Linked DNA regions of Drosophila melanogaster. The protein of the gene in region 2 interacts with the protein of the main gene of each other region in a pairwise test. Each region holds a gene or a part of one and is shown on either strand. Other genes may lie near its edges.

Region 1 (4,613 bases), on a different chromosome or scaffold from region 2:
AAACAAAATTATAACGAACAAAAAACAAACACAAAGGGGTATCTTGCTTTTTGCCAACGGATACACCCACTTTCATGGACTATTCTCTACGTTGAACACGGTTAATTGCTTTCGTTTGGGTTACGGAGCACTGGACTCCGTGATTGCGTCGAATTCGCTGCGGTGATTCTATTATTGCGTTTTTAATTTGTTCTATAATTTTTGCAGCCTGCAGTGAATGAGTGGGTAACAGTGTGACCAGGTGGCAAGCACAAGACAAGTAAAATAAGGCCGTACTACACTTACGTCCTACGAAAAGCCCGCCAATCTTGAAATTCAAATTACCATGTTTTTGTATTTAAAAAGCGGAGCTTAAAAGAAATTCAAGGAAAATATAAACTTAATATGTATTGATACATATCAATCAGTGACTTCTAAGGAAACCAGGATAATCTTAGATAAAATGTTATTTTGTTGTCTTTATCCAGCGGTGCCTTCAATACACACTTAAAAACACATTATATCGACAAAAGTTTACAATTTTTTGAATACAAGTTTCCGGCAAACAGCTCTTTTCTACTTTGTTAAAATACTAAGTTCGATTTATTCGTTAGTTGTAAATACATAATCATTATATGCCTGCGTACATATGCGTGTAGTTGTGTATATGTTAATATTTGAAGTAAACTTAATAGTACAAATGAAAGACAACGAGATGAGAAAGCAATAATTACTTTGGGATAAGCGAACCGCACAGAATTCTCAATACATTGTGAGGCGGCGGCGCCGGATTCTACTTCTTCTTGCTCTTGCCGAGGGTGAGCGTGTGGTGGGCGGTGGCCAACTGCTGCTTGCGCCGCTGGAAGTCAAGGTAGTCCTCCTCGAGCGCCTTGCGCGACTCTTCCAGCTTGCGCTTCTCCTCGGCGTGATCCCGCTTTAGCTTCTCGAACTTGGCGTGCAGGTCCTTCTCGCTCTCCTTCAGCTCGGCCTCCTTCTCCTTAACGCGCTGCACGAACATCTGACGAACCTCCTCCTCCTTGGACTGCAGCTCGGCCAAATGGTTGGAGCGCTTTGCCTCGAACGTCTGCTGGAACGAGATGGGCTTGTTGTCGCTGTCCACATCGCTGAAGCCCATTTGCTCCAGCCTCTTCTGGCGATACAGCTCGTAGTGGCGCGTGTGTGTCTTTTCGCGCATATCCTCCATGTTGGTGCGAATGAGCATCTCGCGCAGCTTCACAAAGTCGCAGTGCGTCTCGTTCTCCACCTGCACCGTGCCCCAGGGGTACTGGCGAGCGCGGATGAGCTTGTTGCCCACCTTAATAAACTCCGTGCTGCCCACCACGGCGAAGGGAATGTGCGAGTTCATGCTGGTGTTGGTCTCGGCCACCGTCTCATCGTCGGTGGGGAACTGGTAGATGTGCACTCCATTGGCGTTTAGCTCCTGAATGATCTTCGCCTTGAAGCGCTGTAGCTCAACCTTGGAAATGGTATCCGCCTTGGCAATCACCGGAATTATGTTCACCTTGCTGTCCAGCTTCTTCATGCACACCAGGTCCAGCGATTTGAGGCCGTGCCCAGTGGGGCAAATAAAGTAGAGGCAGATGTGGATGCGGCTGTCGTGGCATGTCACCAGCGATCGCTTGATCTTCAGCTCCTCCTGCAGATAGTTCTCGAACTGTGCGTCGATGTAGTCCACCACCGCCTTGAACGAGTCGTCCTTGTTGATCTGATCGCCGTAGCCAACCGTGTCGCAGATGGTGAGCTTGAGTCGCACATTGCTCTCCTGCAGCTCGTAGGTGTGTGCCTTCAACTTGACGCTCGGCAAAGTGTGGGGACTCGGCGTGGACTCGAAGCTGGTGTTGAACAGCGTGTCCATCAGCGTCGACTTGCCCAGTCCGGTTTCGCCTGCGGAGCGTAAAGATTTCGAAATGCGGGTCAGATTTGTGCCAGATTTGGGGAACCTTAGCCTAAGTGAGCTCAATTGGCCATAGAAGCACTGCGGCATTGGTGTCAGGGTGAAATTGTAGAAAGTGGCGGAGGCAATCGATTGCCGGCCACTTTGCATACTAATCGTATCTGGGCGTCTGGTTATTTCAATTGTTTACCCGCTTTTATGTACCTAAGTGATTCACTTTATCTGAGCAATGCACTCCAACATGAGACACTTGAGTACATAGCACAGCGGTGTTCAAAACAATAGCATCTTTATTTCAAGATGTGCTGTGCAATAGTCTTTGCTTTCAATAAATAATTGTATTTCTAATATGATTTTACTGATTTTACTCGTATTAAAGTTTAACAAATAAAAAGCACACACCTCGGTTTTTATTTCATTCTCTCTGCATCGAGCTACCACTGTATGTCCAATTTCTAATTGGTGTGCAAACAAAGCCATCTTTGAGTTAAGAAGCAACAAAAGTTTGAAACCTTCTCCAAGTGACTCCTTTATGGAATATAAAAAATCAGTGCTATTGCTTTGGTCACCACTGTTTTGTATGCAAGCAAAACTTCGGTTGATTCACTGTGCCGCATACACACGCACACACGCAAAGTTCACCCGCATATACACACCTATACACATGACGTTGAAGACGAATCCATTCTGGACACTCTTGTTGACCAGTTGGTCAGGCAAGCTGTCGAATCCCACGTGACCGGACTGCTTCAGGGTGCGGAGGTGCACCTCCTTCTTGTCGACGAAATCCACCTCAACGGACATTTTCCAATAGTCAAGTCAAATAATCCAATAATCCGGGCGCAGAGTTTGGATCAAAGGCGTCGCCAGCGAATATGCAAGTGTGGCCAGATACGCGGAGCCCAAAATACCAGCGGCTCAAAGAAGTGTGTGGATATAGATGAACAAGAAAATTATAACTTAACAAAGAATTAAAAAACAATTATTTAATGAATTACATGTGCCATAATGGCAAATAGTGAAACGAAATTGATAATCAAACAGTGAAATGCACTTCATGGATTAAGATTTTAGTACACATCATTTAGCGTTTCAGTTTTTAATAACTAATAATAAAATGTCCCATTCATAGATATTTATGCATAAGTTATTAATTAAATGTAAATAGTTTAAAAAATTAAATGTCTTAACTGTTTCCGCCATCTGGCATCTCTGGTTGCACACAGAAGCGATCTGGCAGGTCCGCATTGCTGATGTGTCTACAGCTGTAAAAACTTGCATGTTAAACGGAAAGTCGAAAGTTTAAGTCAGTGAATAAAATATATATTACCACCCACTAACGTGCTGAGCAAACAGGATGTCAAAGGACGCTAATCCCAAGGAGGCGCTCATAAAGGCGGCTTACGCTGATGTGAATAAGTTCGGCAATAACCAGGAGTTTGACAAGGCTGTCAAGGCAGTGAATCGCAGTAAGTTTTTCAGATTACCGAGGTTATAATCCAGAAGATGACTCCCTATGATCTCTCATAGTCCTAGGCGTAGCGCCCGACGATCCCACCGCCCTGCACTGCAAGGTAGTCTGCCTGGTGCAGCTTTCCAAGTTCGAGGAGGCCTACAAGTTTATTGAGAAAAATCGACTGTCCTCGCTTTTCTTTGAGAAGGCCTACTGCGAGTACCAACTTAACAAGCAGCAGCAAGCGCTTAAGACCATAGACGATGCGGGTCTGCAGCCCCTGCCTCCGAACCTTAAGGAGCTCCGAACCCAGGTCCTGTACCGCTTGGAGCGCTACGATGAGTGCCTAGACTCCTATCGCGACATCATTAAGAACACCAGTGACGAGTACGAGGAAGAGCGTCGGACCAATCTCAGCGCCGTGGCCGCCAACTTGGCTGTGGATCAGACCAAGGAGGTGCCCGAGGTGCCGGAAGACACCTACGAGCAGTACTTCAACAGCGCGTGCATCCAGGCTAATCGGCAGAAGTATGCTGAAGCCGAGCGCAAGTTGCGCACCAGCGAGAAGCTCTGTCTTGAGGATGAGTGTGCCTCCGAGGAGGAGATCATTGAAGAGGTAGACGTCATTCGCGTCCAACTGGCCTATGTCCTCCAACTGCAGGGCAAGACCAAGGAGGCGTCCAGCATCTACGCGGACTGCCTGCGTCATAAGCCAAAGGACGCAGCCCTGGTGGCCGTGGCAAGCAACAACTTGGTGGTGGTCAATAAGGACCAGAACGTCTTCGATTCCAAGAAGAAGATACGCGCTGCCCTAGCCGACGCCTGTGAGTCTAGGCTCACCTCGCGCCAGAAGCAGGTCATAGCCCTCAACAACTGTCTGCTAGCACTTTACACTAATGCCGGCGACCAAGTGCAACAGCTTAGCCAAAAGCTAGCTCAGACCTACCCGCAGGTGGAATTCGAGGCGCTGCTCATTCGCTGCACCCAGCTGGCCAAAGATCGCAAGCACAAGGAGGCCATCGAGCAGCTACAAAAGTTCGCTGCAGCCCACAAGTCGCACGAATTCGTCAGCAAATTTGCCATCATACAACTTCAGCTGCTTCAGGTAAGTTGCCATAAGTCGTAAGTCGAAAATGGAATCTTATTTTTTGTATTTCGTTGCTTTAGGGCAACCGCAAGGATGCAATTGAAACACTGCTGTCATTGGGCGAAGCCAAGTACAAGCCTGGCGTTGTCTCCGCTCTAGTATCCCTTTATCTAGGCACG
Region 2 (4,668 bases):
GTTTGCCCTCCTCGGACTGGGACTTGGGCTCGTGCATGTACTCCCAGCGGGCGTGCAGGGGCAGGGACATCAGGATGCTCTCGTACCGGGCTCCAGGCGTGTATAGACCGAACTTGGTGCCACGATCGTAGATCAAATTGAACTCCACGTAGCGCCCGCGGCGCAGCAATTGCCACTGTCGTTCGTTGTTGCCATACTCCCGATTTTTGTGCTTTCGTACCAGCGGCACGTAGGAGGGAATCACGGCCCTGGCGCAGCTTGACACAAAGTTGAAGGCCGCCTCCTGGTTGGGCGAATCGATGTCGTCGAAAAAGATTCCGCCAATGCCGCGGCTCTCGTTGCGATGCTTGATGCGGAAGTAGTCGTCGCACCACTTCTTAAAGCGCGGGTAGTAGGTGGGATCGTGCTCATCGCAGGCGGACTTCAGCGTCTGGTGGAAGTGGGAGGCGTCCTTCTCGCAGAGGTAATAGGGCGTCAGATCCGTGCCGCCACCAAACCACCACTGCTTCTCCCCCTTGGCAGTTTCCACTTCAAAATAACGATAGTTGAAGTGAATGGTGGGGACATGGGGATTCCTCGGATGGATCACGGCACTCACACCGCTGGCAAAGAACGGCAACGAGGCGCCCTCCTTCAGATTCTTGCCGCGAGCCCGCATCTGTTGTACTGCAGCCGGGGGCAACGAACCGGTGACCACGGATATATTGACGCCTGCCTTCTCGAACACATCGCCATCCTGCAGGACGCAAGTGATGCCGCCTCCGCCCTCAGGCCGCTCCCACCGGTCCACCTTGAACTTCTGGCCACAGTTCTCCTCCGCCTCCAGGGCGCGGCAAAACTCCGCCTGGATCTCCATGATCAGGATCTCCATGCGATGACGCATGTTCTCCTTGTCCCCCAGCAGTGCCTTGGAGTCGGTGATGGGCTCGGCCATGAACCGCGAGGTGTTCATCTGCACCCCGTTGACCTTTGGGTCGACAGCCTCCGCGGAATGTGCGTACGTGACCGCCGAAAAGCTGGCCAGGCCCAATCCCGTGCCGAGGAGAAAGCCTCTGGCGTGCGGCCCCCTGGTCCGGCGCACCAGTTGAAAGGTGCCCAGCGATACCAGGGATATCGTGTGACGGAGTGCGTTCATTATGTGCTCTCGCCTACTTCAAATTTTTAACTTAACTTAAGTACTTTCGCCGAACGCAGTTTGTTTGTTATCTTTCACTGACCCGGCATTTCTAGTTGCATAGTCGCCGGTGTGACCGTGATATCACCAAAATATACCGAAAATAGGGGGCTCGCGATTTTGTTCTATTTACAGAGATACAAGAAGTTGTAACGTTCTTATAAAAATATTATATATTGTTAAGAACACTAGCTAGCTCAATATGTCTGTATATATACACAAAATAATAATAATAAATAATATATGTTAAAAGTTACGGAGCAGTACAATTGCTTTTAATGGTAGACATATTTGTCTTAATTTTATATTATTATTTGTTATAAGTGATATAACTCCGATGATGTATATGTGTAGTGTCCATTGGAATACCCCATTCAAAAATATAAGCGCAATACGGGCACTCTGTCGTGGCATTTGAAATAAACGACTGCAAAGGCGCGTCGATCGTTGGCAAATGAGCGTGCTGTGAAGAAATCCATGAAATATTTGCGTGTGCGCCTTGAAGATTAAGGAAGATCTGCGTGAATACTATTGCCAGAAGGTAGGTGATCGACTGGAGCGAACTCTAAATCCTCTGAACTATAGTCAACGCGCAATTATACGTGTTTATCCCGTCGACTGGAGTTTTGCACCCAGGACACACGCACACTCGCACACTCACGATGTCTGGCCTCAAGAAATTCCAAAACACTGAGGAATGGCGTCAGAAACTCCGTCAGTTTCTAATGACCGAGCGGTAAATACACATTGAAACCCATCCTTGGATAGTGTTGCACTAGTGTTCGATGAATTTGTAGTCATTTACTTTCAAACAAGCCACCTGCATGTCAAAATTGTTAGAGAAACAGTACGCATAAATAGTTTGGACAGTTTAGACACACATACAATTTAGTTGAGAAAACTAATAACAGTTTTCCTTTTTCAGCTTGCCGAAAAAGCCCGTGAAAATGGACGAAACGAAGGATATGCGCTATAGTTTGGAGATCGACGAGGATTTGAGGAGACCCTTGGAGGCGCGGGCCAAGAAAGTTCTGGCCGTTAATTCTGCCAGTCAAAGGACTGTTAATCTCGGCGAGGATACTATGTACGAGGCAGGTGACTTGGAGCACTTGGACGATGGCGATGATAGCTTCAGTGCCTTTGAGCGCATGTGCGACAAAACCGGTTCCGATCCGGATAGCACTCTTTTCCAGTACCTGCACAGCGAGGACCGGAGTCAGGTGATGGCCAGGGCTAGGGATCATAGCACCGACGATCAGAAAGAGATCGATGCACTGCGTCGCATGCTAGAGGCAGTGGGTACAGAAGACGATCTATTGGAGAACGAAAGTCCCGTCAAGGGGGCGGAGTGCACTCACCTGGAGGACATTGAGGCGCCGTCGCGCTTTTGGGACAACACCCTGGCCGGAATGGACGAGACCTCATCCGACTCTGGGCTGACTCCTAAAGCATTGACCAAGGTTTCGCCTGTCAAAATGGTGGGGCTGCTTCGCCCCTCAACCATCATCGAAGACAGCGAACTGGAGTCGTCTGATGTGTCTTCACACACAAGCTTCCAAAGCGCTCGCACCCTAAAGACAAATGCATCTAGTTCTTACGAAACAGCCACGGATACTTCCCTCAGTGGAACGCTCCTAAACGTCGACGAATTGTTTTACGCCGCAATTGCCAAGGCCAAGCCACCAGGAATGTCCAAGGGAGAGGAGCTGGAGCTCTTAAGCGATCTTCATGGCAGTCTTAGAGAGCTGGCCTCACTTCCGAAGGATGAGGTCGAGGAGGAAGAGGACGATATAGAGGATACAATAATCGAGCTATCCTCTTCTGACGATGAAGAAGTGCAGCTAGTTCCAGAAGTAAAACAAGAAGACACGTCCCGTGTGTCCTCAGTCCACGGAAAAGATCACACTGAGCAGAAACCAGCGGAGAAGAGCGTTGAAAATAAGGAAAATTCGTTGCATTTCAATGATACCATGGAAGAAATGGAGTACATGATGCAAAAGGGTATGGAGTACATGGCAGGTGGGGCTCCTTCAGTCGCCGCAGTCAAGGCAGATTGCCCTGTGCTGCCCAAGACCAAACAAAGCACGTTCGTTGTTTCACCGAAGCCGGAACCAAAATCACCGGCTGTAGCCTTTTTGCAGCCATCAATTCCGCTGCGGTCATCTAATCAGCCACAAACAGTTGTAGGTTCATCTAGCACGGGTAGAAAGCCGCTCAATGTCGGCCTCACCATGGAGTGGACCAAAAAGAAATTTTTCAGTGCAGCCTCTGGTATTCCTCAGCGTCGCCAAAATCAGATAAAGCAGCCATACGCCAACATAGTCAGTCCCATACGCACCTACACCCAGAAGTCTGGTACTGCTCCGCTAATGAGTACATTCCGTCCAACGAGTTCTGATATGCTATCTACACTGGCCATCAGTGAGTTGGAGCAGGAGTCTCGCTTGTGTCATCCTAAAGCACTTTTCGCAACAAAGGACGAAACACCCAAGTCCAGTGAAGCGGAATCTTTAATTATCAATGGAATCGATTCAGCCGCTGATCTGCTTCCCAAAAAGGCTTACATATCTTCCGAAATCAAGCATGTAAGTTTAAATTTATATATAAGCCATGATGAGTGAACGTAAACTAATACCTTCCATTGAACAGGTGGTTGATGAACGAACTCCTTTGCCCATGCCGAAGGTACCTCAAATTCAAAAATACCTCAACTCCGCCGTGGAGCCTACTGTTATGCGCCACGATGGCAAAATGAAAATGCCCGGCGAGGCAGTCCGCAATCCGTCGTCTTCGCATATCCCACGACGCGCCAATCACAGCCTGGCTGATCTGTCGCTCGCCTCAGGCGACGTGTCCTTATACACAATAAGAGATGCCCAAAAGTTTTAAGGCCCATAAAAGTACTTCACGCTCCTTGACTAAATATTGCAACGATAATAAATGTATTGTGTAACTAGTGCTAGTAAATGCCTTCGTTTTCGTTTGATAGTATCAATGCTTGCATCATCACTTAACTCGCGCCTGCGGTCCCTTCCACGCTCGATTAACCTTGGACTCTGAGGTTCTGCCCAGTTCGGTGCAGATGTACCGCCCCACTTGGATCAGTTTGTCTAGGTTGACGCCAGTATCGAGGCCCATGCCGTGCAGTAAGTAGACCACATCCTCGGTGGCTGCGTTGCCTGACGCCCCCTTGGCGTAAGGACATCCGCCCAAGCCAGAAACGGAAGAGTCCACCACCCGAATGCCATAGTCCAGTGAGACCAGTATGTTGCTCAGAGCCTGACCATAAGTGTCGTGGCAGTGCACGGCCAGATCTTTAGCCGGGACGACCTTGGTCACCTCATCCAGCATTCGGCGCATTGTGCCTGGAGTGCCCACACCAATGGTGTCGCCCAATGAGATCTCATAGCAGCCCATTTGGTACAGGGCTTCCACCACTTTGACGACAGCACTCGGCGCAACAGCACCCTCGTACGGGCAGCCAACCACGGTGG
Region 3 (4,886 bases), on a different chromosome or scaffold from region 2:
ATAAACGGTATCCGAATTGGGAGGAGCTGTTGCACCGCACCGGGCTCTGGCCAATTGAAGGGTTCATCACTGGCGCAGGCACCACACGTGCCGCCCATTTTAATGTGTTAATATGTATTTAATAGTCAAATAAGAACTGCTCTACTACAGTGTAGGCGGTTGGAATCTTTTTATAAAGCTTGCATCAGTGCGATTGTATATTAGTATATTAAAATTAAATTGCACATAGCTCCCCCTCCCTCAAACAATTGACAAATTGAATTGTATATTAGTATATTAAAATTGAAGTCCAAATAGCACCCCCTCCCTCTAACAATTGACAAATTTAGTTGTATATTAGTATATTAAAATTAAAGTGCAAATAGCTCCCCATCCCTCTAACAATTAACAAATTTAGTTGATGATCAAATAAATCGTGAAAGCATAGTAAAACATCGAAATGTACAGCTATTTCTTTTTGGTGGAAAACTAGCAAAAAATTATTAACAAATGTACAACCAATTCCTGAAATTTACACACGAATTATGCTGAAAGAAATGTGAAATACACTCGAGTCTTGTGGTCAAGCGAAAAAACTCACATAAATTTTATTCTGAAAACGTAAAACAGAAAATAAAAAATTAAAATACATCAAGAAACTCCAACTGTTATGAAATAGTGTAGTAGGTACGCGTTAAGCTAGTCAATCTCCAGTGGAACTAGAACTGTCTGCGCGGCTGCACGATCATCAGGCTTTCCCGCGGCACCGGCAGATTGGCATTCATTTCCGCACGACGAGTTCGCGGCACGGCCAATTGATGACGCTGGCGCGGCAGCATCGAGGAGCGACTGGTCGGCTGAAATTCGTCATAGCTGACACCCTGCTCGGGATTCTCGTCCGTTGTGTAGTCACTGCTGTCGGGTGGGGCGTTCTGATCGTTGGACTTGGTGCGCGCCTTCTTGCTGGAACGCGTTCCAATGCTGCGCCTGCCCATACCGCCGCTGCGTCGCAGTGTGTTGTCCAGTACGCGAACACGTTTCAGCGGCGACTTGGTGCTCTTCAGCTGGTTATGCTGCTGGCTGGGCGCGAGCAGGTGCTTGGCTGGCGACGCCTTCATCGAGTTGAGTGTGTTCATAAGGCTGCGCTTGGCGTTGGGCGTTTTGGGGCCCGTCTGCAGGCCGGACGGATTCAGGCGCTTGTGCAGATTGCCCGTACTCTTGGTGATGTTTAGTGGACGGAGGTGCTGCTGCGACGGCGTCTTGCGCAGCGACATGGTGGAGCTGGAAAGGGTCGACATGTTGCGCAGCGTGCGCGGCGTGCGTGGAGCTGTCGAGCCCGTTGCCGGCGGTGGCATTATCTTGCTGGCCGATGGCGGTGCCTTCTTGCGCGCCGAGCTCTGCTGTTTGGCCTGGCGATGACGCTCCCAATCGGCGGCCATCCGCTCCAGGATGTTCTCGCCGTGCACCAGAAAGGGTGTGTTCTCCTGCGCCTCGTATGCCTGCACCAGTTCCGTGATCTGCTGCTCAATCTTGGGCAGCTTGGAGGTGATGGCCTTGCGCTCCTTCTCCTCCTTGAGCAACTGGCCGCCACGATTGTTGAAGCGATTCGGCTCGCTCGCCTTGGCCTCCAGCGCCTCCATGCGCGACCAGAGTTCGGCACGGCTTTCGTACAGATCGAAGATCTCCTTGTTCTTGTTGTAGAAGGTCTTGAGGTCGTCCAGCTCAAGTTCGTGGAGCTCCAGCAGATCTTCGTTGTACCAGTCGTTGTAGTAGTTCGAGAAGCGCTTGCGCTCCTGCTGGCTCTTAAGTGTGAGATCCCACATCTCCTTGATCTCGATGCGTAGCTGCTCGATGAAGGTTTTCAGATTCTGGCGTCGCAGGGCCTGGCAGCGCTGCAGTTCCTCCCGCAGGACATCGTAGGTGCGTTGAGTGTAGGTCGTAGCCTCGCGCACGCGACGCATGGCATACTCGTCTGTCTCCTGGAGTCTGTCCCACAGCACATGGATCTTTTCGCGCATATCGTCGATGCGCTCCCTCAGCTCCTTCACCTGGTCGGCGAAGTTCTTTTGCATGTTGCGCAGGAGCTCGAAGGTCTCCGGCGTTAGGCAGTGATCCACCTGGTTGAGCAGACGCTCCTCGGTGTCCGTCTGGGGCAGGCACTCAAGCAGCTTCATGTCGTGCTTAATGGCCTGGCGCAGCTGGTCCATCTCTTTGAGGCGCAGCACTCGCTGATCGCGTAGCTGGCCCAGGCGATTCCGAAAGGCGTCCATCTCCTCGGGCAGCGGCAGTGGATCCGCCAACAGTGGCAGAGGCAGCTCTCCCAGTTCCTCGCACAGCTGCTCCTGCTGCAGCAGAAGCTCACAGATCTCCGCTCGCCGCCTGGCCAGCTGATCGCGTAAGTGCTCGATGCTTTTGTCCAGCTTCAGCTCCCAGACGACCAGCGGCATGGACTCCGGCCGCTCGCCAATGTCCAGCGGCTCGTGGAGTAGGCGCGTCAAGTCGGTGGCCTCTGCCCGCAAGGCGGCTATATCGTTGAGGATCGCCTGCTGCTTTTCGCGCGACTCATTGAGCAAATCCGTGAAGAAGCTGTTCGCATGGTCCTTCAACCGGAGGAGGAACTCACCGCAGGTCTTGACCTCGAACAACTGCGACCACATCGCGTGCAACTGATCCACGTGCTCGCCCGTCATCTCCAGGATCTGGGCCTTCACCGCAATGGCGCTCGGCGAGTTCATTTTCTCCGTTTTCGTTGTGAAATTTGTGTTTTTTTTTTTTTGTTCAAAATTTCTTTTCTTGCGTAAATGCTCACTGGCTTTGTTTTTTCGTTGTGTTCACTTGGGGACTATTTAACCAGCATATCTGAGTTAACTTGACAGTTGTGTCGCAGACCCACAACGCTGGGCAGGATTGCTCGGGAATGTGCGGATTTATTTAGTGGTTTATTTAGAGTGCATCACTGCACGAAATTTCGAACTGAATGAATCGATGACGCTAGACAGAAATTTCGGTAAATTCAAATTGAAATGGCGGCCAAGAGTGTTGCCACCGCGTTGTGGGACAGCATTGCCACGCGGCGGTAACTTCTGGTAAAACCAGGGCTGGAGCATACGCCACTTTTTTGAATATTTAAAATTCGTTATTTGGTTTATTAGCAAATTAAAATATCTATTTTAATTATTTTGCTCCTTAAAAACGTATTATATTCTCTTATATGCGCTTAGTAAACATCCCACAGACTTTAGAAAACCCTTCCCACACATGTATATTTTGGTAAAATTGAAATCAAGTAATTTATAATGTAAACAAGCGTTTTTATCTGACTAAAAATTTAAAATGTGGACAATTGTTCATTTACTTCTTGCCGTCACAGGTAGTGCAAAATAGTTAAAAGAATTTTAAAGTTGTAAATTTAGATAGTCTTTGCGCTAGGAAAAGCCCTAACACTATACATATGTGTATACATATAAATACGATGAGTCTGCAATTGCGAGCCAAATACTTCAGTACAGGTAATAGATATAGAACACAGATCAGTTGCCGAAATGATTGCCATTGGATGTGATTAGAGTCTAGCTCCATTATATGGCCACGACCGCCTCCTCGTCGGGACTCTCGTTCTCCTCGCCGGACGGCGGACGCACATGGATTTTTGGTATGGGACGAATTTTCTGGGGATTCCTGCTCCCTGTGCTCGGCCTGCCGGATCCCTTGCCCCGACGCACCGAGTATTCCAGCACGCGCACCTTCCTCTGCGGCGACTTGAGCAGCTTCTGCCCATTCACACAGACCTTGCGACTTGCATTGTTGCACTCCAGCGATGCGATTAGATTTCGCTTGGCCGCTGCTGCCGGCTGTGGACTATTGGTGTTGTGATGCTGTGGATGCCGTCTCTTGTGCAGATTCCCTGTGCTCATTGCCGTGGTGCTGGCATTTGCCTTGGTCGGCGTCTTCTTCAACGAGGATGTGGATCCATGGATGCCCCGGTTGCTCTTCTGCGTATTGGGCGTAAGAGGCACCATTGGCGGCTTCATTTGGCCGCTCGTATTGCTGCCATCCTTCTTCTGGGCGGAGGGCTGCTTTTTGGACTGTCGATGCCGCTCCCAGTCCGCCGACATGCGCTCCAGTATATCCACGCCGTGCACCAGGAACGGCGTGTGCGTTTCACTCATGTAGACCTGCACCAGTTCGGTGATTTGTTGATCGATCTTGGGCAGACGGGACATGATAGTCTTGCGCTCCTTCTCCTCCTTGAGCAGCTGTCCACCGCGATTGTTGAACCGATTTGGATCGTTGGCCTTGGCCTCCAGGGCCTCCATGCGCGTCCATAGCTCGCCTCGATTCGCGTATAGCTCAAATATCTTCCTGTTGCTGTTGTAGAACTCCTTAAGGTTGTCCAGCTCCTTCTCGAACTGCTCGAGAACATCTTCGGTCTGCGTATCACAGTAGTAGGTGGTGAAGCGCCTGCGCTCCTCGGTGCTTTTCAGTGAAAGATCCCACCACTCGTTGATCTCAATGCGCAGCTGCTCGATGAAGGCAATCAGATTCTGCTGCCGCATCGCCTGGCAGCGCTCCAGCTCCTCGCGCAATATGTCGTAGGTGCACTGGTTATAGGACGTGGCTTCGCGCACACGACGCATGGCGTATTCGTCGGTCATCCTGAGCCGCTGCCAGAGGCATTCAATCTTGCCGCGCATCTCGTCGATGCGGTCGATTAGATCCTGCACCTGGTCGGCGAACTCTTTGTCCATTTCTTGCAGGCGCACGTAGGCGTAGGGAGTAAGCTTATGGTTATCCGCATTGAGTAACCGCTTTTCCGAGTCCGTTCGCAATTGAAGTTCGAGTAGTTTTATGTTTCGTTTGATGTTCTGGCGCAGCTCGTCCATATCCCTGAGGCGCTGCACTCGCTG

What was found.
Region 1: the proteins of sip2 (region 2) and Septin2 interact in a two-hybrid assay, tested with the Drosophila melanogaster proteins (one study listed by BioGRID).
Region 3: the proteins of sip2 (region 2) and feo interact in a two-hybrid assay, tested with the Drosophila melanogaster proteins (one study listed by BioGRID).

What each region holds. Positions count from the first base shown.
Region 1 is NT_033777.3:20,585,574-20,590,186, forward strand, and holds Septin2 (septin 2), read right to left. Parts: upstream 2,784-4,613; 5' UTR 2,699-2,783; coding exon 2,551-2,698; exon of another isoform or gene 2,430-2,550; intron 2,423-2,429; exon of another isoform or gene 2,297-2,422; intron 1,885-2,296; coding exon 773-1,884; 3' UTR 556-772; downstream 1-555. Other genes in the region: Srp72 (signal recognition particle 72), read left to right, coding at 3,252-3,363, 3,425-4,452, 4,515-4,613. UniProt on the Drosophila melanogaster protein: Involved in cytokinesis.
Region 2 is NT_033779.5:6,960,986-6,965,653, reverse strand, and holds sip2 (septin interacting protein 2), read left to right. Parts: upstream 1-1,579; 5' UTR 1,580-1,715; intron 1,716-1,798; 5' UTR 1,799-1,836; coding exon 1,837-1,910; intron 1,911-1,977; exon of another isoform or gene 1,978-1,998; coding exon of another isoform or gene 1,999-2,021; exon of another isoform or gene 2,022-2,099; coding exon 2,100-3,759; intron 3,760-3,823; coding exon 3,824-4,063; 3' UTR 4,064-4,138; downstream 4,139-4,668. Other genes in the region: Coprox (coproporphyrinogen oxidase), read right to left, coding at 1-1,135; Hmgcl (3-Hydroxymethyl-3-methylglutaryl-CoA lyase), read right to left, coding at 4,181-4,668.
Region 3 is NC_004354.4:10,851,891-10,856,776, forward strand, and holds feo (fascetto), read right to left. Parts: upstream 2,980-4,886; 5' UTR 2,715-2,979; coding exon 699-2,714; 3' UTR 556-698; downstream 1-555. Other genes in the region: sofe (sister of feo), read right to left, coding at 3,558-4,886.